Linked DNA regions of Drosophila melanogaster. The protein of the gene in region 1 interacts with the protein of each later gene in a pairwise test. Each region holds a gene or a part of one and is shown on either strand. Other genes may lie near its edges.

Evidence for each region.
Region 2: the proteins of trbl (region 1) and CG8679 interact in a two-hybrid assay, tested with the Drosophila melanogaster proteins (one large-scale study listed by BioGRID).
Region 3: the proteins of trbl (region 1) and CG6333 interact in a two-hybrid assay, tested with the Drosophila melanogaster proteins (one large-scale study listed by BioGRID).

What each region holds. Positions count from the first base shown.
Region 1 is NT_037436.4:20,394,524-20,404,107, forward strand, and holds trbl (tribbles), read right to left. Parts: upstream 7,087-9,584; 5' UTR 6,733-7,086; coding exon 5,903-6,732; intron 2,953-5,902; coding exon 2,328-2,952; 3' UTR 1,765-2,327; downstream 1-1,764. UniProt on the Drosophila melanogaster protein: Adapter protein that negatively regulates different signaling pathways to coordinate cell differentiation, proliferation, migration and growth.
Region 2 is NT_033779.5:21,215,504-21,221,552, forward strand, and holds CG8679 (uncharacterized protein), read right to left. Parts: upstream 3,042-6,049; 5' UTR 2,920-3,041; coding exon 805-2,919; 3' UTR 501-804; downstream 1-500. Other genes in the region: Atg18b (Autophagy-related 18b), read right to left, coding at 4,757-4,794; CG8677 (uncharacterized protein), read left to right, coding at 6,049-6,049.
Region 3 is NT_037436.4:17,480,231-17,489,277, forward strand, and holds the start of CG6333 (uncharacterized protein), read right to left. Parts: upstream 6,001-9,047; 5' UTR 5,961-6,000; intron 2,073-5,960; 5' UTR 1,975-2,072; intron 1,894-1,974; 5' UTR 636-1,893; coding exon 15-635; 3' UTR 1-14.

The sequences.
Region 1 (9,584 bases):
TGACTTGAAATAGCGCACAAGCTGTCTGATCTGCCTAGAAAGTATCTCGTATCTTTCTCGGCATTTATCTGCCGCCTTTTCTGTAAATACTGCAAAATGGTGCATAAAGTTTTATGACTTCTGGAGTGATTTAGGAAGAAGACCATGAAACGATTTTTCAGGCTAAGAATTTCGCATTATCTGTTGGGTACTTGAAGGAAAACATAGGACTATCTTCTAATGACAGACAGTATAAGCTGCGTGCGAGGGCAAACAAAGAAATTTACGGAAAATCTTGAGAATTGAACCAGAGCCATAACAAAGAATCAAGTAACGACTAATTTTTGGGTCAGGGAAAGTAGCGTAGCTGTCACTGTTCAGGTCTTCTTTATGGTTGTCAAGGTACTTAACTTAAGGTTTTAGAACCTTAAAAAGTGAATTTGTAACAGGGCTAGGCTAGTCCACCTTTGTACTTTCCATTTAACATACTTTTTTTTGGGTAGCGTGACCCCTATTAGAGCTTCGTTATTCCCCAGAAACAAAGTAATTGTGACTTTTGGGTATGTAAGGAATGCGAAAAGTTCTGGATCGTTCATTCCGTTCTATAAGTCCCCTTTAAAATCTTATCAAACTGCACATGACAATGGGCTTTACCCTTTCAAGATCTCGAAGCTTTGAGTACCCATCCTAAAATGTATTCTTAAATTAATAAGTGAAATAAAATCAGGATACTTATTGTAAAAGATATAAATTCCTAAGTTATAAGACCACATATGGACTTCAGACTTCAGACTTTAGTTCAATATGTATCAATAATCGACAATAAATTTATTTGAACAAAAATAAGACAGACAAGAACATATTGTAATACTCTACAAAAGCATCAGATTTGAATACATTTCCAGTGCGGTTACATACAGTTCCCGATGGGTATTTTCCAGTCGGGTCTAAACCGATCAGGCGATTCTAGTTAAAGTTCATGCGTGGCACTGAGCCCAAAAAAATTGATAGTCACAATCTGTAGGTGGCGTAGTCGTCAGCAGTTTTCGCGTTCTGCGCAGTTCTCGTTCTCTCCGGCAATTTCATAATCTGAACAAAGTGCTCGACCACAGGTAAAAATGCTCGAGCACGGCGCACACAGAGCCAAAAATCGGGGGTCTTACGTACACGAGTATATGTAGGTGGTATACATGCGAAAGTCCCCGTCACGTCGGCACATCAGATGACAGTGGTGGGACCTCCGCATTCAGCAGCTATTCACAATATTAGTTTACTGCTATTGTGGAGCAAAGTCGCAAATATTTCCGTAGCCAAAGTCACGTTCGCCCACCTGATAACTTCCAGTCACTGGGTTGCATTATCAGGTTGGGAATCTGCTGCTCGGTAATGGGAATCTCAGCAACAACAATAACTAATTTGTTGACTTTCGACACTCGAGAGAATTCTCGATTTTGTGACGTGAACTATTCATTAATCTCCTTCATGAAGAAAATAGATTGGACAGTTTTGTTTTCATATTTTTGACCAAACATTATCTGATCTTAATCAAATGTTGAATTTTACTAGTACACAATATGACGCATCTAGAACCAAAAAATCGTATTTTCCCCTGACTCATTGTTTTCATCTTTTGTAGCCTTCCGCTTCTTGAGAATCTAGAATCTTCATGTTAAGCTCATAGTCTGGTTGACTAATTACACATTTATAAATATTTACAATCTTGTGTCAATAAATAAAAACAGCGTTTTTTACCCCAGAGCCCTAAAGAAACAAATTCGAATTATTCTTGGTGAGATCAAATTTCAATGTATTATGTTCTTTTTTGCAATTTTCACTTACAAGATTTTAAGAGTACACAAAGCGTAATACAGAAGTATTAAATAATAAATAACAATTTGCATTCGTTGCATTTTTTAACATGGAAACTAATGTGTTTTAAAGCCCAAAAGCAAATCAGGGCGACTGTCCTTTGATAAGATCAACAGTTTGCAAAAAAATTAAAATGTTAAATGTATTGTACATAGGTAGGTTTTAGGAAGAATCGGTTGCAGAGAGGAGGCTGCGGAGCGGCGTGATTCTTGAACGAATCGAATCGGGGCTGCAGCGCGATTGGAAGGCAGTGAGTTCTTGTGTGTCTAAGCTTTAAGTCTTTGTTGGCAGTACCACCTGCAGGAAGACGACGTGGAACGCAGTCGGAGTCGGCGCGACCCGGAAGGCCAGGATGTCCACAGTGTCATATCATCCGATATGCCCAGTCCCGGCGGCTAATCAGTCGGCATTCAGCCGGATGCAGCCAACGCGCCAGCGTGTCCCAGAATGCAACCCGTGGGTGACTCCACGAGCTCCAATCAGCCCATGTCCACATCCGTATCGGGTTCGGGTTCCGTGGACAGCCCATTGGCATTCTGAGCCATTTGGAGCGTGGAGCGCGTGTAGTCCAATGGCTCCACGCCAATGTCCTCGTACTCGTGCTTGTCACCCAAGGGACAGAGTCCTTCCTCGTCATCATCCATCGCATCGGCGGCAGTGCCTTCGTCCTCCTCCGCATCGCTCCAGTCCTCGGCCACCTCCACGTCGACTGGCAGGTACATGTGGAAGGGGCGCTGCTCTCGCAGCCACGGGGTAAGGAAGATGTGGCTGGCGGTCATTCGTTCCGTGTAATCCTTCCGCAGCAGCGAAAGCAACAGCCATCGCACCGACTTAGACAGCGTCAGGGGTATCTGGACATTCCCGTGGCGTATGACGGTGATGAGGTTGCAGTTGGCCTTCTCGTAGAACGGGTACTGACCCACCAACATGGTGTACAGGATCACGCCCAGCGACCACATGTCCGCCGGTTTGCCCTTGTACGTTTGCTGGGGGCACAGCAGTTCTGGAGCGGTGTACAGTGGGCAACCGATCTTGTCGCTCAGAGTATCGTCCTCGCCGTCGAGGATCATTGAGCCTTCCAGTGATTCATACTGCAGTTTCGTTCTGTAATTAGCAAATGACAAAATCGAATAAATAATCCGCCAAAATAGGGTACAAAATATATGTTTATGCTTCTTAGAAATAAAACTAACAGTCTTTTTTTTACCCGTTTCTATTAATATGTTGAGAACTATTGTTGCCAAAGAAGAGTAGATATGACTGCAACTTGAGTTGGCACTGCCACTATTCTGATCGCAACTGTACCCGTTCATCAGACCCATCGTCGAGCTCTACATCATGTGCAATCCCTGGGACTTGCATAACCCCCGATTTTGTGGGGCCATTAGCTAGCGCAATATCGAAGAGACTTGAATCGATCGGCCACGGAGCTTCAGTTTCAGTTGTAGTTGTCTTTGGCGTTGGCGTATTGACAAGTCAAAAGGCAAATTGGCCGAGAGAGCACATTGTGAGCTGAGCTGAGTTGACTTGGATTGGTGACGAAAGCGCAGCTTGCGACCCCCGACACCCATGAGCGAGTGCCGCCGCCGCCGCCGCCTCCGCCCCTGCACTCCACTCCACTCCCCCTCCATTGGGCCACTCCACTCCATTGACATTGGCCCACATTCGAATGCAAAAAGCAAAAAAGTAACGAAAACGCCAGCGAGCACAGCGCATAGATCCAAAGAGAGTCCGCTGTGTGAGCTGCGTGAGTAGTAAGGTGAGGTGGAGTGACGTATCGCAACTTGTTGCTGCAACGGCGCTTCTGCTGGGACCCGAGCACCACTACCAACATTGGGTATTCCGCCGATAGCGAACGGAGCGATATACAAACACACGGTCGCCGCGGTCTGGTATCCAAACATCCAAAGAGCCAAACACAAAGCAGGCCAAAAAAACCTCGAGCTGACCCTGAACAAAAACAAGCTTTGAAAACGCGCCTCTCCTCGGCACAAATCACAGTGTACACTGAAAGAAACAAATTACCTTCAACTTGATAGCAACAGGTGGGCAATCAATAAGAGGGAAAAGAGATAGCGCATTTAAATAATATATTCAAAGAACACGGTTCTTAATTAAGAGCATGTTTCTATACATTTGTTTTCGGGTTTCATTTGATTTTTGTGTCCTCTATCGTCTAGTTACCCCATTCGATACAGAAACATTATAAACTTATATTTAAGATCAAGGCAAGCATATATAATTATACTTTTAAGATCAAGGTTTTATGTGAACCAATATTTATATTTTTGAGTGCACGGAAGGCAGGTGGAGATGTGATGAGGAGAATAGTTACAGCTGCTGACCTCGATGCGCGACATAACCGAGCTTTGAAGAGCGTCTTGTGGATCTCTTCTTTCCCTCTCTCTCTCTCTCTCGCTCTATACGTTTGGCACACATTAACCCGCGACAGAGGTTAAAATAAAATCGGAATCGAAACGAAATACGGAAAACCGGCGCCGCATAAATGCTCAAACACCTTGGAAGTATTTACGTACGGCAAAAGAGTAGACAAAATAAAAGTATGAACCAGAGATTTTTACATGCATAAGCATACGCATTTGTATATGGGAGGCACTGGCATATATGCATGTACATAAATGCGTTCAAATACAGAAGATCAGAGTCAGGGACATTCACCGCACTGTGACCTTAAAAATTCGGCTCGTTATTTGGTTGTGCGTGTGTGTGGCCGCCCCGTTGGACATATGTAGATATGGATATGGCCACGCCCATAGCCCATATAGTATGTATGTACACCCAGCGAGCACTTATCTATATAGCGATGTATTATTCGAATGGAAATGGGAATGGAAGTGAGCGCCAGTAATCGCAGCGCATTTGAGTCGTATTGAACACTTGTTGTTTATTTCTCGCCAAGGTGAGAGAAGTATAGTATAGATAGAGATCTATGGGTTGGTTTCTTCCTTCCGCCGTTTTGCACTTGGCACAGAACGACGAAATGACGAAAAAATCAGCAGATATTGCGCTAATTGCAGAGTCATACGAAATCGACCAAATGTTCAAGTCGTTCCATGCTGATGTCAGTACAATTTCGAAGATAATAAGAACGGGAGACAGCGCGTTTTCGATACAGTTGTGTTAATTAACATATGCGAAAATACATTTTCGATGAAGGTGGGGTCAATATTTCATCATCCACTGTAAACTCACACACGGGAAATCGACAAATCAAGCGAACGCCGAGTACGTGGCCCACAGATCCCCACCCCAAAACCATATTGCAAATGCTATGTTGAACAATTCTTGAAATGTGGCAATTTCTAGCTTCCGAAATGTGTAATGAAAAAACGAGTGAGCCAACATTTTGGCCATCAGTGTGGCACATTGGGCCCTTGTGTACGAGTATGTACACAGAGATACAGTCGGGGTCTGCAAAATAAGGCATATGCTTGCTCACTGAATGGCAATTCAATGATATTACATAAATAATAATTCTTTAGCTACAAAGCTAATACACCATGTTAATTAATAGTTTAATAATAGGTGTATTTCAAAAACTTATCTTTGAAATTATTTAACATTTTTGATCTTATTCCCATTCATTTTTGCAATGCTTCGCATAGTAGGAATATATTTTTACTTATAAAATTAGTTTGAAACTACCATTATACCCTGTGCTGTACATACGTACGCCTTGCGTTCATTCGGTTTGTCAGTATAATTGTTGTTGTTGGCCTATTGGTGATTCGATTGCAACACTTGTTAAATGTTCAATGTTACCCACAACGACGGCGCCAGCAACAAAAACAAAAGCAACAACAGCAGCAGCAGCAGCAACTACAACAACATGGGCCAATAACAAGAGCAACAATTGTGGCACCACCAACACACGACCACAAACAAGATCTCTCGCTCATAACGAGTTTCCATCGAATTGCAAAATAAACCGACTAGCCAGCCATATGCAATTGAGTTGGTATAAGTCAGGCATATGTGGCGTATATTGGTGTATATGGGTTTTTCGAAGGTGTCACCTGGACACGCAACTCACCTGGCCTCGTCGATGAAGTAGAACCGCTTGAGCTTGAGGTCCCTGAGGATAATCCCGTTGCGGTGGCACACCTGAACAGTCTGACAGATCTGGTGGAATATGGCCCTCGCCTCCGTCTCGCACAGTCGCTTCGCGTGGCGGATGTAGGTGTGCAGGTTCTCGTACACCCCGGTCACCCCACCCGTGGAGTCCCTCTCCTGGGGCACGGGCGCAATGAGGATGTAGGTGCGATCCTTGGTAAGCGGTATGATATCGTGCACGGGTCGGATCAGTGGATGGCCATAGATGGTGCTCCGGCGTAGCTCCTCGTCGTGCTGCTGCAGCTGAAAGTAGGCTCGTTGCACCTTATGCAACGGTTCGTTTACAATACGGCAGAGGAACTGCTCCCCGGTGAAGATGTCCACGCAGCGCAGATTGGAGGCGGTTAGATCGACCAAGTGGCGATACGAGGCGGGAGTCTTGGCAGCCACGGCGGCCGATATGTGACTAGGCTGTGCGCTGATCAGATAACGCTGTTGGATGAGCTTGACGGGCTGCTGGTCTGTGGGTTCCGCTGCGATGCCCAGGGCCAGAAGGTCACAGGCTCCGCCGGGCGTCATTAGCTTCTCCCTGATGGTCTGCAGCATCTTGGCATTGGGGAACTCCTTTTTGGGCGTAAATAATCCCAGTACGGTGTCCTCCTGGCTGCTACTCATGCCGCTGCTGCTGGATGATGAGGATGAGGAGGTGGCGGCTGCGACTCCTGGCGAGACTGGTGACGAATAGTTGACTATTTTGCTTGTGGACGCTGACGAAGCCGTTCTGCTGTTTTGACCGCTACTGTTATCCATGCTTGCTTGTGTTTACCACTTCACTTAACTTTATCACAGTTCTTGCTCTCGCTACGTTTTCTTCGTCTTATTCTCTGCTAATGCTTCTTCTTACTAATTTTGTTACTCCGCTTTAGCCTGGCTGTACTTGGCTGTTAATTGTTTTGACATTTAGCGACGCGCCGTTTAGTCTCCGATTAAATTCGATTTAAACTCTCGTTTAAACTCAGGGCTACTACTACTTCGGTAGTTTGGCCATTTGCAATGCGGGTACTGACGAAATGCGGCGATTTTAAAACAAATCGGACGCTGCTCACTGAACTCGCGAAACGAAACGAACGCGACCGTCTTCTCCGCAGTTTGAATTTCAAATGTGACCATCCACGCGGTCGGAAGAAGCACGAAGCGAAGAGAACGGCGAAATACAACGGCTCTCTTTCGCACCCTCTTGCTCGCTCTCACTGCACCGATCCTTCTCTGCCTCGCTCACACCCGTTGCAGGAATTTAGCTCAATGCGGTCGGAATGGAAAGAGAAGTGGGAGACCAGAGAGCGTCGTTATTTTTTGAAATCCAAATGGTTGGGAGAGAGAGAAAGAACAAGAGCATCGTTATTTTTGAAAAAATTGCGCTGAACGCTGAAATTCCGATTCCAACTGAATTCGAAATACGTAGCTGTATGAACACTATACCCACAGCAACCCTTAAACTTTTCTTCTACGATTTTACGTAGTAATCTGCGCACCAATAAATCGTGGCGATAAGTTAATTAGAGGGGGTTAGTAAACTGATAAAATCCACAGTTTTAAGATCAAATTAATGAAAGTACAGTCAGCTTGAACTTCGATTTTGTTTTATTGAGTACGGGTACGGATATCGAAGGCAGAAACACCCGTATAACCATCTCTATAACTCGAAAATATCTTTTGTGGTTTCTTGGCTTGGATACTTAAGGTTTTCTCCTGCTCTGATAAGGTAATATTTTACAAGTTTGGTTGAAATTATTTGTTTTCCCATAGTTACGAAATTTTTAAACCAAATTCAATGATGATGTGCAGTTTTTGAGTAGTTGCTTTGCAAACTACTATTATTATAAAAAAACATAAAACATAAAACATTTTAATATCCTAATATACATACAAATTTAAAATTAAGAAATTTGTCTTCTTAATACTCCAGATTAAGATCTCTTATATCCCTAAGTATATGACCACAGATGGACATTTCAGATGTACAAACATAGTTCTAGTAAATCCTAGAATTTAAATAAATGCTCCCAAACTCGAATCTTCAAATAACGCTTCAATCTCTTGGATCCAAATCGATCATTGAATTTTTTCCTGTGCGAGATCATTACTCATTTGTGTGTGTGTATGTGGATTTACCTTGCTGTTTACCTCGCGGTGCAGACGATTTCATGATTTTTGCAGCTGTCCGAAACGAGGATCACTGGGCTACGCAGGAATTACGACAGCAACAGAAGGCAGTTATCCGAGATCCTCAAGGAGCAGGTAAGAACCACCGAGCGGCATTATGTCGCAGGTAGATTCCTACATACATATGTCAGCTGCACTATTCCACCCCTAAGCACTATATGGCAGATATAGTGCATCGGTGCAGGGCTGTACATGCGATGCAGTTGCAGTTGCAGCTGGCGCAAGGTGATTTCCCACTAAAGACATCCGTCTGAGGATACACAGGAGCACATTCGCGGTCACAATAATAGGAACTATCGCAATCGAATCTTTAGTAATTGGAAATGAGGGTCTTTAAATATAATTTTTAAGACCGAATTGTTGGACTAAAAGACCTGAAAAATGTATTTTTAAAATCGTTGATAGAATTGGTACAATTGTAGGTTAGATATAACTCATTTAGTTTTGAATTTTTTCATTCTGGGATACTGGGATTTTGAATACTAATATTTTCACCGCAACTGTTTATGCAGGCTTGTATTTCGTCCATTGGTTTTCACCGATCTCTTCGATTGAATTCTTCATATTGTAACGCTCTTTTTGAAACGCAACGTCCGTCTTTGCTTCTTCTTCCCACGAAGTAGCCGATAAATACGAATGCGAAAATCGCGAACAGAACAAATAACACCAACAAACCTCTCTTTTCGCCCGTCCCTTTTCCAAAGTCTTGCATCTGTTTCTCGAAAGGAAGATTGAAACGAGAATTATACTGGTACCGTGACACCAATGCAACCGAAAAGGGGGGAAATTATAGGGGTGGCGACATCAAATTGAATTTGAAAAATATTTTATTTGCATACGACATACTTATTTGCAAGCAATTAATGTTTCACTCTGGTCACTGCACTCACTTATACGATTAAATAGGCCTGATCATTTTGATATGAAAAGTGTATGTACGGGAAATATACATATTCTTTAGCAATAATCACGTAAATATACGTGAACACAAACAACCTTTATTCCAGTAAATCGCTTTTGAGTTTCACCATGGTCCGCAATGATGATTAAGTTTTAACTGCAGTTTGCAGTGGGAAGATTATACAAACATATTTCATTGAAATTTGAAATGACGCACTATGATGTTGAACAGTATTGATTATAATCGCCTTGTGAAATAATTTCACATGTAACCGTAACCCATTCCTTTGAACCACTGTGCCCCAAGCCCCACCAAGAGTACGTTACATTTTAAATTTAAATTCGAACATTCGGATGAAGCCGACCTTTCCGACACTCGCGGATTCTTCTGCTCTAAAATTTCAGCGTGCTTTTGCCATTGTGCGAGCTACTTTGTTGTTGCCAAGCTGGCATGAAATCCAGATTTCTCTTCCAAGCAAAAAAAAAAAAAAAAAACAACTCAGTGCGTCATCGGCTGCGTCATCAATTCGGGATGACGA
Region 2 (6,049 bases), on another chromosome or scaffold:
TCGTGTTCTAGTTATTACTCGTAGAGTAAAATGGTATACTACTACAAGAGTGTGTAACAAGTAGAAATAAGCGTTTCCGACCATATAAAGTATACATTATTGATCAGAATGATTATAAGGCCATATTGCTTTAATTGATAAACCCGAATTGTAGTTTTGAAGCAAGGATGTTCACCGACTTCCTTCGTACCTGTCCAAAATTTGTGTGTAACCTTATAAACCTAATTTTGTCTTGGACGCTATTATTCAAGCGATTTACGCTTTACGCCTTCTTTCAGGACAATTATTGAATCTTATCCAATTTCAAATATTAAAACATTTCAGTGTTGATTTATAATTAATTTTGATGAAACTAAAGAGACAATACTAGGTTTGTTGTCAATTGTTCCTCCGGGAAACTTATTAATTATTTGTTTACCTTATCGGAAAGGCTTTATATTAAGTAAATGCATGCAATAATGTTTCAGAAATTCGTAAGTACATGAATAAATCGTGTCTTTGAATGGACGTATTTTATTATTTGAAATTAATCTGTCCAAATTGCATAACTATTTGACTAAAAATTAATATAATAATATTTTGTAAATCATCTCATCATTTAAAATGCTACCGCTAATGGTCCAGCTAGAATTAAATTTGTAAACTGTTGCCTTGAATTCAATAGCCTTACTTATTTCCCAATTTTTTTATTCTGCCCATTTTCTAAATAAAATTAATCTTGAGATCAATCTTTGAACATATTCGAGATGCGCCGTTCCACTTTGTAATAATGGTAAATATTTTTTCCACATTTTATTCCCGTTCTCAGAGGAGGTCGCTTGGCGACAACTGTGATTCTCCCTCCGCCAGATAGATGTGCATGGCCTTGAAAAGCAGCGCTATTCCCAGTTGCTTTTTCTGTTTCATGGTCCAAGACTGAGCCGGCCCATAGTAGTCGCCGCGCTTTATATTGGTAAGGTGATTCAAGCCCAGAGCGTCTATAATGGAAGCTTCGCGTGTGTATGCATCAATTGGCAAGATGTTGTGAAAGACATGAAGACATACGACTCCACTGCCATGTTGCCAAATGTCCAGGATGCGCTCCAGCTTACGGCTTCCCATCTTTCCATCTCCCGGTGGAGGGGAGCGGAAAACATCTGGCTGTAGGGTGCGGAATCCGCCGCCGCGTTCCCTATTTGTCTTATCTTTTTCGCGCTTCTGGTGAAGGCGTGTGTGCTGCCGCATGGCATCGTAAAGGTGAGCGTACGGTCGCGAACATTTACCCTTGCCTATGTAAAAAATGGAGTCCAGAAAACGCTGCCAAACCCCGAACTTTTCGAGAAAAGCGCTCTCCCCAGGCAGATTCCGAGAAATGCGTGGATCAATCAACATGTAGATGAAGCTCTGTTTAAGGTGCCCCTCTCGCATGTTCTTTTTTGTCACCCCACACTGTGCGAAATGCGCTGCAGAGGTTGCTTCATGCGGCAAGTAATCATTGATCCTCGCAAAGTCCTCTGGCGACCGCAGCGTGCGATGAAGCTCTACCGAGTATCGGATCTGCGCATCCTGGGCGTGTTTTTGGGCGGCCAGCAGCGCCTCCGTATTGCGCTTGTATTTGATTAGCTGCTTGATGTACAGCCGCTTAGTTGTTTTGGTAATGGGACCCACCGGAGCCCCTAGCTGTGTCAACTCCCGGCGCAGGGCGTCCGTTTCGTAGTCAAGTGGCAGGGTATAATTAGTGCTCACGGAGCTTTCCAAATCGTGCTTCCTCTCTTTGGGAGTTTGCTCGACTGGCTCCCGCCTGTCCCTGTTTTGTAGGTATCTCGCTTCGTAGAAAACTAACCCATTCTCGTCGTCGGTGTGAACGTAGGCCTCCTTGATTTGCAGAAAGTACTCATCCTGGCGTGCTGAGCTCTCCGCCACGTCCACCTCGTCGCCCTGAGCTGTAAAGAAACTGTGCTCCGGTTCCGGCTCCACGACGACAGCCTGAGAGACTTGCTCCACTAGCATCTCGAACACCTGACGACCCGAGTTGGGTGCATCCTCTGTCAGATTCTTCGAATTGTCCTCGTCTCTGAGCTTTTTCTGCAGGTGCTCCTTATAGTTGAAGTCCTCCTGACTAATAGCATCATCCACCATCGCTTCCACATGCTCATCGTACTGATGGAACAGGGACTGGCGGGCGCGCGAGCGTTCCACCTTCTCACGCCAGCTTTCAATAAGAGTTCGCCGCTTTGGCTGACAAGGATCTTCCGGCTGGTTCTGCCGTTGGCTCTGGATGAGTTGGGTAAGGTGAGCTTCAGTGAGGGCAAACAGGTTCACAGACTCCTCATCGGGCAGGGGTGGAATGTCGGCGCACTCCACCTCCGTTGGCTCCGGAAACTTCGGCTGCGGTCGATGCCGCCTGTGAGTGATATTAATATAGTACGGGGAAGTTACATCGTGATTGTACCTAGGCTGATTGGGGGTTAGAGCGTCAACCACCTGGACTCGCTGTTGCTGCTTTTTCTGGATCTGCCTCTCGCGGAAGATGTGATCCCGGAGCAGCTGCAGCACCTCAAAGTGGCACTCTTCAATGGCGTAGTGAACTGGCAGCTTATTATCCTCATCAGCCAGGTCCGCGCAAGCTCCGCGCTCCAGCAGCATCCTAACCAGTTCCGTCCGCCCATAAATGCTAGCGATGTGCAGCGCCGTGGTCTGGCCGTCGCACAAGGCATTCACGTCGAGGTCGGGGCACTCGAGAAACCGCTCCAGGATTCGCTGGGCCAGTCCCCCGTTTCGCATGCCGCACACGTAGTGCAAGGGAGCCAGTCCTCGATCGCAGGGCACGATGCCAGCATTTATGCTGTTCCTCTCCAGCATCGACATTATATCAGCCTCGTTCTCGTCCTCCAGGGCGTCCAGGAGGGTCAGAGCCAGAAAGTTGGCGCGCTGCTCCATCGGCGTGCTCCCTGTATTGATTTTTACCCATGCACTCTCTCGCTCCTATTTCAAACTGCAATCAATTATCGCTTAATTCTCGCCTTTTCAATGTCAGCGGTGCCGCATTTCCAAGTGTGGCCAAACTCGCAGACCTGGCGAGGCTGCCAGATGTTCGCAGTCCTAGTTGGACATTGGTGGTGGCCCGTATTTTGAGCGCCACATTTCAAACCTGTTTTTTGTCTTCGCAAGCTGAGCTCTGCCAATTATTGCGATTGATTTTTGGCACATAGTTGGCTTGGAGCGCACGCTCCACGCGATAAGCTTACCACAGTAATGTGATCAGTGAGCGCAACACGTGTTGTTGCTATTTCTGACTATTTGTTCTCTTGGATCCCAAACTAGTTCCCGCCAAAGGCGTAACGACGCTAAAATGGGCCCAAGGTTACCCCTTGTTATGCGATAGCGCATTGAGGTCTCTTGCTTGTTGTTACTCTCTCAGTTGTTTTTGTTTTCGCGTTGTTAGTAAACAAACGCAGTGTTTAAGTAAAATAAACGCACACGTTGTCATTCTCTTACATGGGGCATCGAAAATAAATTTACTGATCAGACAAAAGTGCACTTACGGTCGTTTGCATTAAAATTAAAGCTTATGAGCAATTGCGCTGGCTTATCAAATAAATAACAACAAACTCAAGAATCTTGATGACACACACAAAAACAAACCTTATCCGACCGCAAGTCTTAAGTATAAGTCTGAAGTCTTAAACAATATAACTTTAAATGCCTGATCTTAAGATTTTATTAGTTGATGTAGCAGTCCTATGACGAAGGCTTAATTATTTCCTTTGATCAAAATTCGCATATAATATATTAAATCTGTGCGTACAATCTAAATTCCTAGTCAGCTAACAGCAATTTGATAGTAATTACATAACAAAATAAAAAATTTTGGAATAATGCTGTTTACATTTTAAATTTGTACATTGCTGATAGACTTGAGACTTGAGTTTTTTTTTTTAAAACTACAGAGTATCGTAGGAAAACCCCCAAAAGATAATAGCCAATTGTTTGACTTGCGTTTTCGCGTACATTCACCCGTGCTTGATTTGTTACTGATTGGAAATCTCTCTTTTGCTTTGTTTGAGCTATGACAAATTTTTCAGATTATATTCTTTTCGATTCGATTTTCACCACAAATAGTCATATTGATGTTTGCGTTTCTTTCTAAGGCTTGCTCGCACTTCTTCCCTCACCCTGTTCTTGGATGACATCAACGTACCGTGCAATAGCGAAACTGGTTAATTAAGCTCGAGATTAAGGCTGCGTTGATAGCTACAGTGCGCTCCCGCCAGATTGACCCCCTTTGTTTCTTGTCATTTTATTTCATCCTTATCGCTCCGCACTTTCATTTGTTCCTTAGTCATCAGCTGTTGCGCATAAACAATTGATTGTGCGCCAATTGTGCGAGTGTTGGTGTCCCGCACAGTGGCCATCAGAATGGAAATACTGCTAAATCGGTCGCTTGTTGGCCACTGACAGTGTACCGAGTTCGGTTCCCAGCCCCCTCCCGAAACGGGAAAGGCATTCCAAAATGTTAGATGAATGCATGCTATTGTAATTGGAACTGCTTGTTTGCATGTTCTAATAAACTACACACACACACGACACGAAAAATGACGCCAATTCACGCTTACCCACAGACACACTAACGATCCCCGTCCACCTTCCCCACAGCAGCTGTTTTCGCCTTATTTACCCGTCTCATTTGTCGATTTTTGTGTCTCAATTGTTTGCCACTTTTCGCTTTGGTGACCTTCCGGGATTTAAGGATTTAAGCACAGATGTCGCTACTTACGTAAAGTCCTGGTTGAAGTTCATTTGATATGTGGTCATTGCTGCTGAAGATTTGTGCTTTGGTGATTGTATTTTTTTTATATAGTTACACTTTCACTGGTCTTTAGATGCTTTTTTTCAGCGATATTCAGTTGCAGAGTCCCGTCGTTTGAGTACACAAGATATTGATCGACGATGGCAGATGAGCAAAGCGAAATGATTTCACTTGATATTGAAAACTAAATTCGACTGTTTTGCGTCGTCTTTGTTGTTTTGCTGCGACTGTTTTTCTCGTTCTATCTATCAACAAATTCCCCCTACACACAACACACACACACATAAATCATCATCATTGGAACTGGGTTCGGGAACTGAACCAGCCGTGTTCACCAAATGCCATATATACCGTTAAATCATTTGTGTAACGGAAAATGTAAAATTGTTATTAAAAATTGAAATGGACAATATATATACATGTATCCGCATATATTTGCATTGGAAAAATCATAAAATTACCTCATATTTCACACAATTACAGTGCATTTAGTGTGTATATGTCAGTTTCATTTCTTTTTATATAAACATTAAAATAGTTTTTTCCAATAAGTATCTACAATTATCTAAGTGTTGTGTCAAATTTTCTATCAAATCGGAACAAAACAGTGGACGTGTTAAGCTTCTTATAAGGTTCTTCTGTCTTAGCAAAATTGTATTTCCCATAATGTATTTCCCTACTTCAACTTGATCTACACTAAAACTTTATACCTTTTGTTCCTAATTTATATTATAACCTATATTGTTCGTCGATTTAATAAATTTTGCATAGCCTATTTAATAGTAAAACAATTTTTAGATTTGTAACATTTAATACACATTTCATAGTCTAGCGCTAACTTAAAAATAAAACTGTCTTAACGCGAATCTGAGTAAGTTATAAATGTATTCGTAGTTTGTAAAAATCGTTTTCATGCATACGCCAAGTATACTAGAAACTAGTTCCCCAGTGCATCGACTGCCAACTCGCTTCAATTACATGGGTGCAATCTGCAGTATTGTCGAAAAGTGACTGCGCGGCCACACTGAAACTCACAACAGAAAATAAAGCATTTTCGCTTGCTTTAAAATAGGATTTTATCCCGTACAAGAGCTGTCTCGCGGCAAGAAATATGCACCCTCGAAGTCTCGCAGTGCCGTGCGACCAGAGAACTTGATCCTTGGACAAATGACTCGTGTTTGCAGTGCCCGTTTTGAGGTTTTGCCAGAGTAGTATACAACACCCGAAAATTTTCGCTGGTTCTCGGGGACGCATGAAAAA
Region 3 (9,047 bases), 2.9 Mb from region 1:
CACAAGAATACGATTCACAACATATTCCTGTACCTACTTGTGTTTTCATTGGACTTCTTGGTCGAATGCGAAATTTTCTTGGAGTGAAGATACTGGATCAGCAATTGGTTGGCCGAAGATTGCGGCTTCACTTGGATGTCGCTCCTTTGCAGCTTCTCCACGGCACCGAGCATGTCCTGGCAGTGGTGGCCAATCCGCTTGGCCCGATCCCTTTCGACACTGGCCAGCACCTTTTGCAGATGCGACTCCAGCATGATGGCATTGTTCTTGATGGTGGACACCTGGCGCTCATAGTGCGCCTTTATTCTTTTCATCTCCCGCTGCTGCTTCTCGATGCGACGGGCCTGCATAAGGATTATGTCCGCCAGGTTTTGGCGATCGGTGTGATGCTGCTCTGCCTTACAATCCTGCTGCACCAGGACACCAAATTCTTCCTCGGAGATCGGACTTCCTATGCGCTTCAGGCTGGAACTCGTATTCCGACCGACAGTTTGTAGAGACTGCAATGGTTTCCTAGATGGCCTGGAGGACATCTTCTGAGTCTTTTGCCGCGTATCTAAAGTTCTTCGGGAATATGGCCTTTCATTCGGCAAACCAGGCAATCCATCGTTGCAAATCCTCACGCCCTTGGTCATTTTAAACAATAATTTAGCCACTCGTGAATTCGTTCTGACTCTTAATTTTATTCGAATTAGTTCAAATTTTGTCGATTAAGTGAGGGCAAACGTTGTTTCACCTCTAAAAATATTTAATGGTTAATTGAACTCTTAAGGCAATTCTGCGTAATAAATAAGCAACTGAACTGTTTACTTTTTTATGATATAAATGTTCGATTATGAATCATGCAACACTCAAATCTCTGCAAATATCCTCAAATTGGCGGAAAGTGAAAAAGTCGATCACTTTTACCCTTTTTTTTGTAACGATACTGACCAACTAATCTCAGTTATTTGAAAGTACTATAAAAACCACAAGCAAAATGACTGCAATTTGATAAACTCAGGTTCAAGGTGGGCTCATTTTTGGCAAGATCTGGTCAGAGTTTTCATGATTGTATGGGTTGAACCAGAGTTGAAAGTGCCACGCCCATCACTTGAGGCGACCAACCACACGCAAATAACCATATATGTATGTACATACATGTATGCATATGAATATTTAAGTAGGTACAACAAATTTGCACTTCTTGTATACTTATCTTAATATCTCTTAAGTAAATTTGGAAATAAGGAAAAATGTTTGAAGTTTCATACATTGCTGTCTTGGTTAGAGTATTCCAAAACCATTGATTTATGTTTTCTCTGCCTTTTGGTAAGCATAATTTGTATATTTTTGGCCGCGATGCCGCACACTTGATAAGGGTTATCGATATGCCCATGGATATATGCATGCATTATGTGCGACTGATCATTATTTGTTTTCTTCCCATAGCCTGTGCATCGCATTCGCAAGTTGTAAATTATTTGGCAGCAGGAAGCGGATTTCGTTTGGTTTTCGGGGTGTGGAAGATGGATGGATGGTGCTGGCCGGCGAAAAAAAAGACATTCTTAATATCCTGAATACTCATAAATTCAAAGTACCCCCTTGAGCCATAATTCAAGCAACTTCCTCGAATAATTCGATTCACAGTCCTTCAACACAATGCCAAGGTCTGGTCGTTTATGTCACCATCACTGCCTTCGGCTTTCTATGCTTCCAGTATATTTCTTAATATGACAAACTTCTTCCCACTTATGCAATTTCCATAAATTCAAGGTCAGCCATACAATAAAAGTCCAGACATCAGATACTATATACAACATACCCGGCACATGTGGACATTCGTCTGGCTACTTTTTCGGCAGCCAAAAGATTGAGGAAGAGTAATTTTTCGCCAGAGATGAGCGAAAACATCTGCGGATCAAATATATACATATATTTTAATAATAATAATTTTAAAATTTTTAATAAATAAAAATGATAAAAATAACTCACATTGATTACGTTTCTAATACAAAGAAATGAAATCTGATAAATCAAGAGCTTTAAATACCATAATGATGTTCATCCAAGAGATTCCAATGATACTTTGCCTAATAATTAAAGTCAAATCAAATTAAAAGTTAAAATCGTTTTGGCAGAAAACTGTTAGTAACGATAGATAGTAGTTGAAATGAGAGATTAATACAAATACATAAAATTGTTATCACTGATATAGTTAATGACAATAGTTAAAAGGCTATAAAAGGGTACAATGTAATTGTGGTACTTCAGATAACAAGGCCTTTGAAAATGTTGATTTTAATTAATTTTAATTTTTAATTTTAATTTAGCCATTGTATGTCTACTATACCAAACAAAACAAGAACTTAATTGGGTTTTTTGTAGTACGAAAAATTATGTGGAACCTTAAACATATAAATAAATTTTATACAACTATGTATAATATTATTTTACAAAAATAGCACAGCATTCTTGTGTAGTGAATCAGCAGGGATAATAAAAACAGTAAAAGATTAATAATGTATTAAATATAAATAATAATTATGAATAGGCAAGGAAACTCCATACTTGTAAATGTATAATTTAATTATTTATTTAATTTGGCTTGCATCAACCAGACTCGCTACTAACTGCCAGCTCTATAAATCCCGCATATAATATATACAAAATTCGGCTTTGAGAGCGACATTCCCTCACACCCCTCCGACCCCTTTGCACATGCCGAAAGATGATATCAAAATGCGAAATCAAAACAAAGACCCAGAATTTCGGCAGACTAACCCAAACAACATAAAAAAAAGGTCCAAACCCGACTAGCATCTAAGCCAAGCACAAAGGAACCACGCAGCAGACAGGGAGCAGACAGGCGAACCCCAAACCCAAACCAGAAGTCCAGGGCCTTTTTCTGTCTCGTTCTTTTTTATATATACTTTTTTTTATAAGCCCCTTAGAAGCGTAGACTTCGGCTAGACGAAATTTGAGATGTCTAAAGGACGAAGGAAAGGCAATCAGAACAGAAAAGAAGGAGGAGCTGTCAAGTGCCATCGTGGAAAAAAAATGGAGAAGCAGACGCAGAGCTTGCTGGATTCGTTCGATTTTGTTTCTATCAATTTCGGTTTAATTGCATTTAATTTGAATTGCAGACATCGAAATCAGGTTATATATTTCGTGTTCGGCTGTGCAGCTTGATTTAATTTGCCTGCTAGACGGCCAAAAATCGACGTAGATATTGCGCAATTTGCTCACCCCGAGAGCAACAATCAAATGCACTCGAAAAGTCAAATAAAAGTGAATTGATTTATGGGCTTTTTGTTTGTTTGCACTAAATATTCTTAGAAAAAATATGGTTACCCGCATAAATCAGAAATAATTACTTGAAAATACCCTCATTTGATAGTATATAATAAAAATAAAAACCGTAGAATCTGAAATTCTTGAAGTCTTGCATTTTATCGAAGATTTCAAATGAAAACTGCTGTTTTTGGCACAGTTTTTCCACCCTCTATTGTATCCTTGCCTCGATTAAGCACTTGCGCATAAATCTGCAGAGGAATCGCCAAAAAGCTGTAGCTTTAGACAAGAATCAAAACATATGAAATATGCAACAGGCCAGACACTTCGGTCGGAAATTTGCTTTGCAAATTCTGCTGGTTTTTGGCGACAAATTTCAATTTAACAATCGAGCACAGACATCCGTTCTGGGTGCAAATCGCAGATATATCTATATCGCAAGATACTGGGAGATACAAACGCGCACCAAGTCGGATGAAAGAACCCTATGCAACATAACTCAGCAAAGCAAACTCAGATTTCCGACAAGGGAACCCCCCAGCTCCTACTCGCTTCCAAAAATTTCTGACTTCGACTCTGAGTTATTAAAGAAACGCCATCGAGTGGGGGAAACAAACACAAAGTTTGTTATGTTGCGCAGGCGCAGCCCAGCAACGCCCTCAAATTCAGGGACTCAACATCGGTGGATCCATATGGGGATGCATATGGGGGAGAATCAGAAGGAGGCATCCGCACAATGTTATTGACCCGTCCCAACGGATCCGTTAGCCATCCTCCGCCCGAATGCCCCGCCCCGCCGCAAAAATTCTTATTAAGATCAATCAGCTAAATGTCGGTTTTATGCTTAATGCTCATGATTCACACGGGCAGAAGAGTCCAGGAATCGAAACTCCATGTGGCAGGAATTCGACTTTCAGCCCCTTAAAACACACCCACTGGTACTCTAATATGATGGTTGGAACTTTCAATTGCAAATTCACTATTTAAGAAATAATTAACAAATTATTGGCTAGACTATAAAAAGCATCTATTCACATTCATTTCGAATTTATTTCTAACTCTTTTAAACATACGTATTATCTTTAAATATTTACATTTCTTATAGCTTAAGAAATCTTGTTGTACTTATTCTGTTAGTTACTATTACCTACTAATTAATTCATATTTAAAGATTAATCTTTATGGTTAGTCTGACAAAAATCAAATGCATATTAAAATAGTATCCGAATAAAGATACTTTCAAGATAATTCTCATTTTCCACTTATCCCAAATGCTAAATTCAAATCTCACGTGTCAGCTAAGTTACCCTTCGCATCGATTCCAACTCCAAAAAAGCATGTCCCAACAACTTGTGTGCGAATATAAATAAAAATGTGCATTTTTGGCAGCCTTTACAAAGTTGTCGGCACGTTTTAATGCTGAGAATTTGAGCAGCTTTTTGCCTTCTTTTCATACTTTTTTGGTTACTTAATTAGTCATGGCAGGCACACTCGGGGAATGGGGCGACTCGGAGTGGCAGAGGCAAGTACCCTTATAACGAATGCAAACTGTATTCGATCGAGGAGTAGAATCGAGTGACTCCGTTCAGATCTTATACAATAGTTTTCCCACCCCCCGCATTTGCTTATCACCACTGACACACATTATAGGCCAGCTCCGACTTTTGATCCGTTCTATTCGCTTCAAACTCATCCAATTCATAAGCGTGCTTCCTGCTTTCAGTCAAGATTAAATAAGAACATTTCCCCATCCAATTCCCCTTTCAGTAGTAAAATATCAAGCTCATTAAAAATTAACAACAATTAGGGAAATCGCTTAAAGAAATAAGAATTAGTAAAAGTAATTGTATGGCAAGCTTTTGCTTTTTCTACTTTTTATTTTATTAGCAATAAAAATACCTAATATTTATAGGAATATATGTAATATACAAGTTCGTCATAAGGAAGCCCCACTGCACATACATACCACACCACATTGTGTGCAACACATATAAATGTGAATGTTTATTCCATCTGACAACGGTTAGCGATAAGCCCAGCGATGTAGTCAATACAACAAACAATAAGGAACACTTTTGGAGTTTCGTTGTCGACTTTGTCATTATTTGCTTGCCGTTTGTTTACAAGCTGAAACATTGACACACACACATCAGCTGCATCAGCTGCTCGTGCCCCATCCCACCCACCAACAAGCCCACTCAGAATGCGTAACCCCCTTCAATGTGGAAGCTCCAACACCCATGGGTTCATCTGCGGGTTATCAGCAGCGGATTGCAACTAGAATTGGTTACAAAAAAAGCGAGCCACCGAAAAGGGAAAACAACATTCATCCGGCGGCGGCGAGAAAAGCAACCGCAAAAGTTCAATGCACATTTCGAGGTGAATTTGTTTTTGAGCTCTCGCTCGTCTCGGCCTGCAATTAATTACACAAATCGAACGAGCGTGTTTAACTTGTTTTCGCGTCTAACATGTCACGTAATTAGCCGTCTAGCTGCGAATCGAGCCGATATCGATGGGAGTTTGCCAAAAGAGTAGCCAATAGATACGGCTGCGCCATCGCCTGCGTTGCACTCAATTTGCTTGATTATTGCGCACAGACTTTGCATGAGTACGCGTATCTGACAGTTTGCCTATCTATCTGGCCGCTTGGCAGACGACCTTGCGCCGAATATGCAATTGATACGTACTTTGCACATATGAATATTAATAGGCGACCAGAGAGTTACTCGAGGAATTTCGCAAACTGAATTCCATTAGCCTCCAAGACTGTAGACTATATTGTAAAGTCAGTTGCACCGACAGACAGCAGATGCATAACCTAAGAGATAACCCTTAATCGCAAAAATCACTTGGTAAACACACAAAGCAACTTATAGAAACTATTTAGCACGTTTTGCAAAAAGTATTCCTTTTTAGTACTTCGCTGGAACTAACTAAAATGTAACGAGCATTAATGTAACGAACATTAAACCACCAAAATTCCTCATCATAAACACTTTTCTTTGAAATGCAAAACTTTCAGGCTTTAAGCTGTTCCTCATGCCTTAGTGAAAATAATGTATAGCTCATAATAAGAAATTAATCAATCGAATCATAGACTTAGAATATCCATCACTTCTCTTCACTTTTTTATATTACCCACCCCACCCAGACGAAAAATCTTGGTTGAGTCATTTGCAGAAAATGTATTTTATTGTACATATGCAACAATAAATATTGTGTACTACATGTGATTCGTAAGTTAAAAAACACTAAGCCAAGCTAAGAGAAAGTCAAACTTGTCGAATTTCAATCAAAATAAAGGTCTTTCTATGAAAGAATTGGTACTTCTATCAAAACCACTTCAATTATTCCCTTATAAACGTAATGTATTCTAATATTCCGGTATGCTGAAAGTTTAACCCAGGTCGATCTGTCTGATCTCCAAAATCCCCTTTCCAATTTGATAAAAGAGCGCACGCCACTGATAACAAACAGAGAGAGCAGCCGAACTAACAGAGCCCTAACAGCGTGGGGGCCTAACAGAGCCCCAACAGCTCCAAACAGCTGCGCTGCCGACGTCGACGTCGGCGCAGGCGAAAAGTTTTGGCTGTTTTCAGTTCGCCAGACCGTTTTGCGTATTCGTATTCGAATTGTTACCGTGTGCGGACTGTGCCGACGGGCAGCGGAACTCAGGCGGTGCAACTGTATGTGTGCGGTGCGTGAGAGTGTGTGTGTGTGAGTGCGAGTGGGGGGCGAGAGAGATAATATGTACATTCGGTGTATATATACACATGTGTATACGTATTATTTCTATACGCCGCGATCAGACAACAACAACAACACCAACAACAATGTGGGTCGTGCATATTGAACATATGCAAATAAAACAAAAACAGATAAATGCCAAAAATCTACTACACTTTTATAACCAAAACACACAGAGCGCGCAGAGAGAGCGGCAATAACGATAACAGCGGAGACAGACCACCCCCACAGCGAAGAGAGAGCGTAAGAGAGTGACGGTTAGAAGTATCTTTGAGATACACTAACACAAAGAGAACGCGTATCTGTATCTGCATCTGTAAATGTATCTTCTGGTCTGTGTTTTTCGACTCCTCGTATAAATTGAGCCGCACTTTGGTTATTCTCGAGTTTTTGCTGCTCAGACGTCGCTGTAAGTGCACGCGTCGCTCGACTTTTCGGTTCCGCTCCGCTCCGAATCGGTTTCGTTTTCGGTTCCCAATACCTCCAATATTCCCTGAAAGATACCTGTGTCCAAGAACCCAGTTGAATCCACACATTTTCGTCGTGCAAGTCACAGAAAAAAATTATTAAATTTCTAAACGCTCAATACAAATATTTTCGCACACTATAAAAATATTAAAAAAAAAAAAACTGGTTGACAAATTTGTCTGATCAAAAACCTAAAGAAACTTGTACGAAAACGAATAAAACTAATAACATATTAAATAATCTCGTTTTTGAAGTTCATTAAAACCACACTTAATCAATAAATACATCATTGTTAAGATCCTCAGACCATTTTAACAAAAAATTAAAGTGCCAATTCCATTTTCAGTGAGTGCTTGATAAATTTGTTGTATTGAAACCCAACCGCAAATACAATTTTCAATTGGCTGAGTGCGTGTCTTCAACGCACAAACATACGAATATAGCATTTAATATTGTTCATTATGTGTGCAATTAAATAAAAAAAATTGTGTGTGAAATAACAGAAAAACGAGTGCGGCGAACAGAGGCAGCAACAAATTAAACGCGTAAATTGCGTAGCAAATTCTGAATGAAAAAATTCAACAAAACCAGAAAGCGAAACAGGAGCGATAAGCGTAAGTACAGCTTTAATAAATAAATTGTATATGTTCATAAAATGACAACTTTTTGTGACAACTTAAGAACTTAGAGTTGGATGGCAATTTAGGTTTGTCAATAATAGAGTATAAGAGTATAAGAGCTTTGCTTAAGTGAATATTACTTAGAACCCCAATTAACAATTACTTCAACTTGCATATATATAGAATTTGTTTATTTGAAAATGTGTATTTCCCAAAAACAATTTTTGTATAATGCATTTAAGTCTTGTGGCGAAATAAAATTTCAAAGAGAACGATCAGTGCCAAACAAACATGCAGAACCAGAAATAAGCTCAAAATTCATGGAATAACCTGATTTGGTTTCTTTTCATTTAATTGGGCTAAAGAAATTTCCCTTTTCAATGCTTGCCCACAAGAGAAATGGAAAGAACGAAGCATTCTCTGATTGATGTGGGGAAAACAAAAACAGAAACCCCGAAAAGATATTTCGAAACAAAATAGAGAGGGGCAGACGATGTCTAAGCATTTATCTTTTGGTTCTTCGACGCGGTTCTTGTTATTTTTCTGTTTTCGAAGGGGGGGACTATTCGGGCGCCAGAGAAAGTGAAACATGTAATTTTTTGTTGGAAGGCCTACAAAAATCATACGCCGTATTGAGTGAAATCGTAATGGGCTAAGAAATTTCTTAAATACGAAGGTTAAAAGGGGGCAGAGCAATCAGAAAGCGCACAATACACACTCGGAAATAATGATAAGACGCGCGACGGAGAAGAGACCGGCCAAAGAATACGAAACACACTCCATTTCTCTGTCTTTTCTGCCTGCTTTACTCGGTTCCCGGGTAATTACATACATGCCGTAAAACCAAAATAAATACGCACAGATAAAGATGCACAGATGCAGATACAGATACCGGGTTGGGATGGGTTGGGTTCGGATGGGCTTTTTTCCCGCATTCTT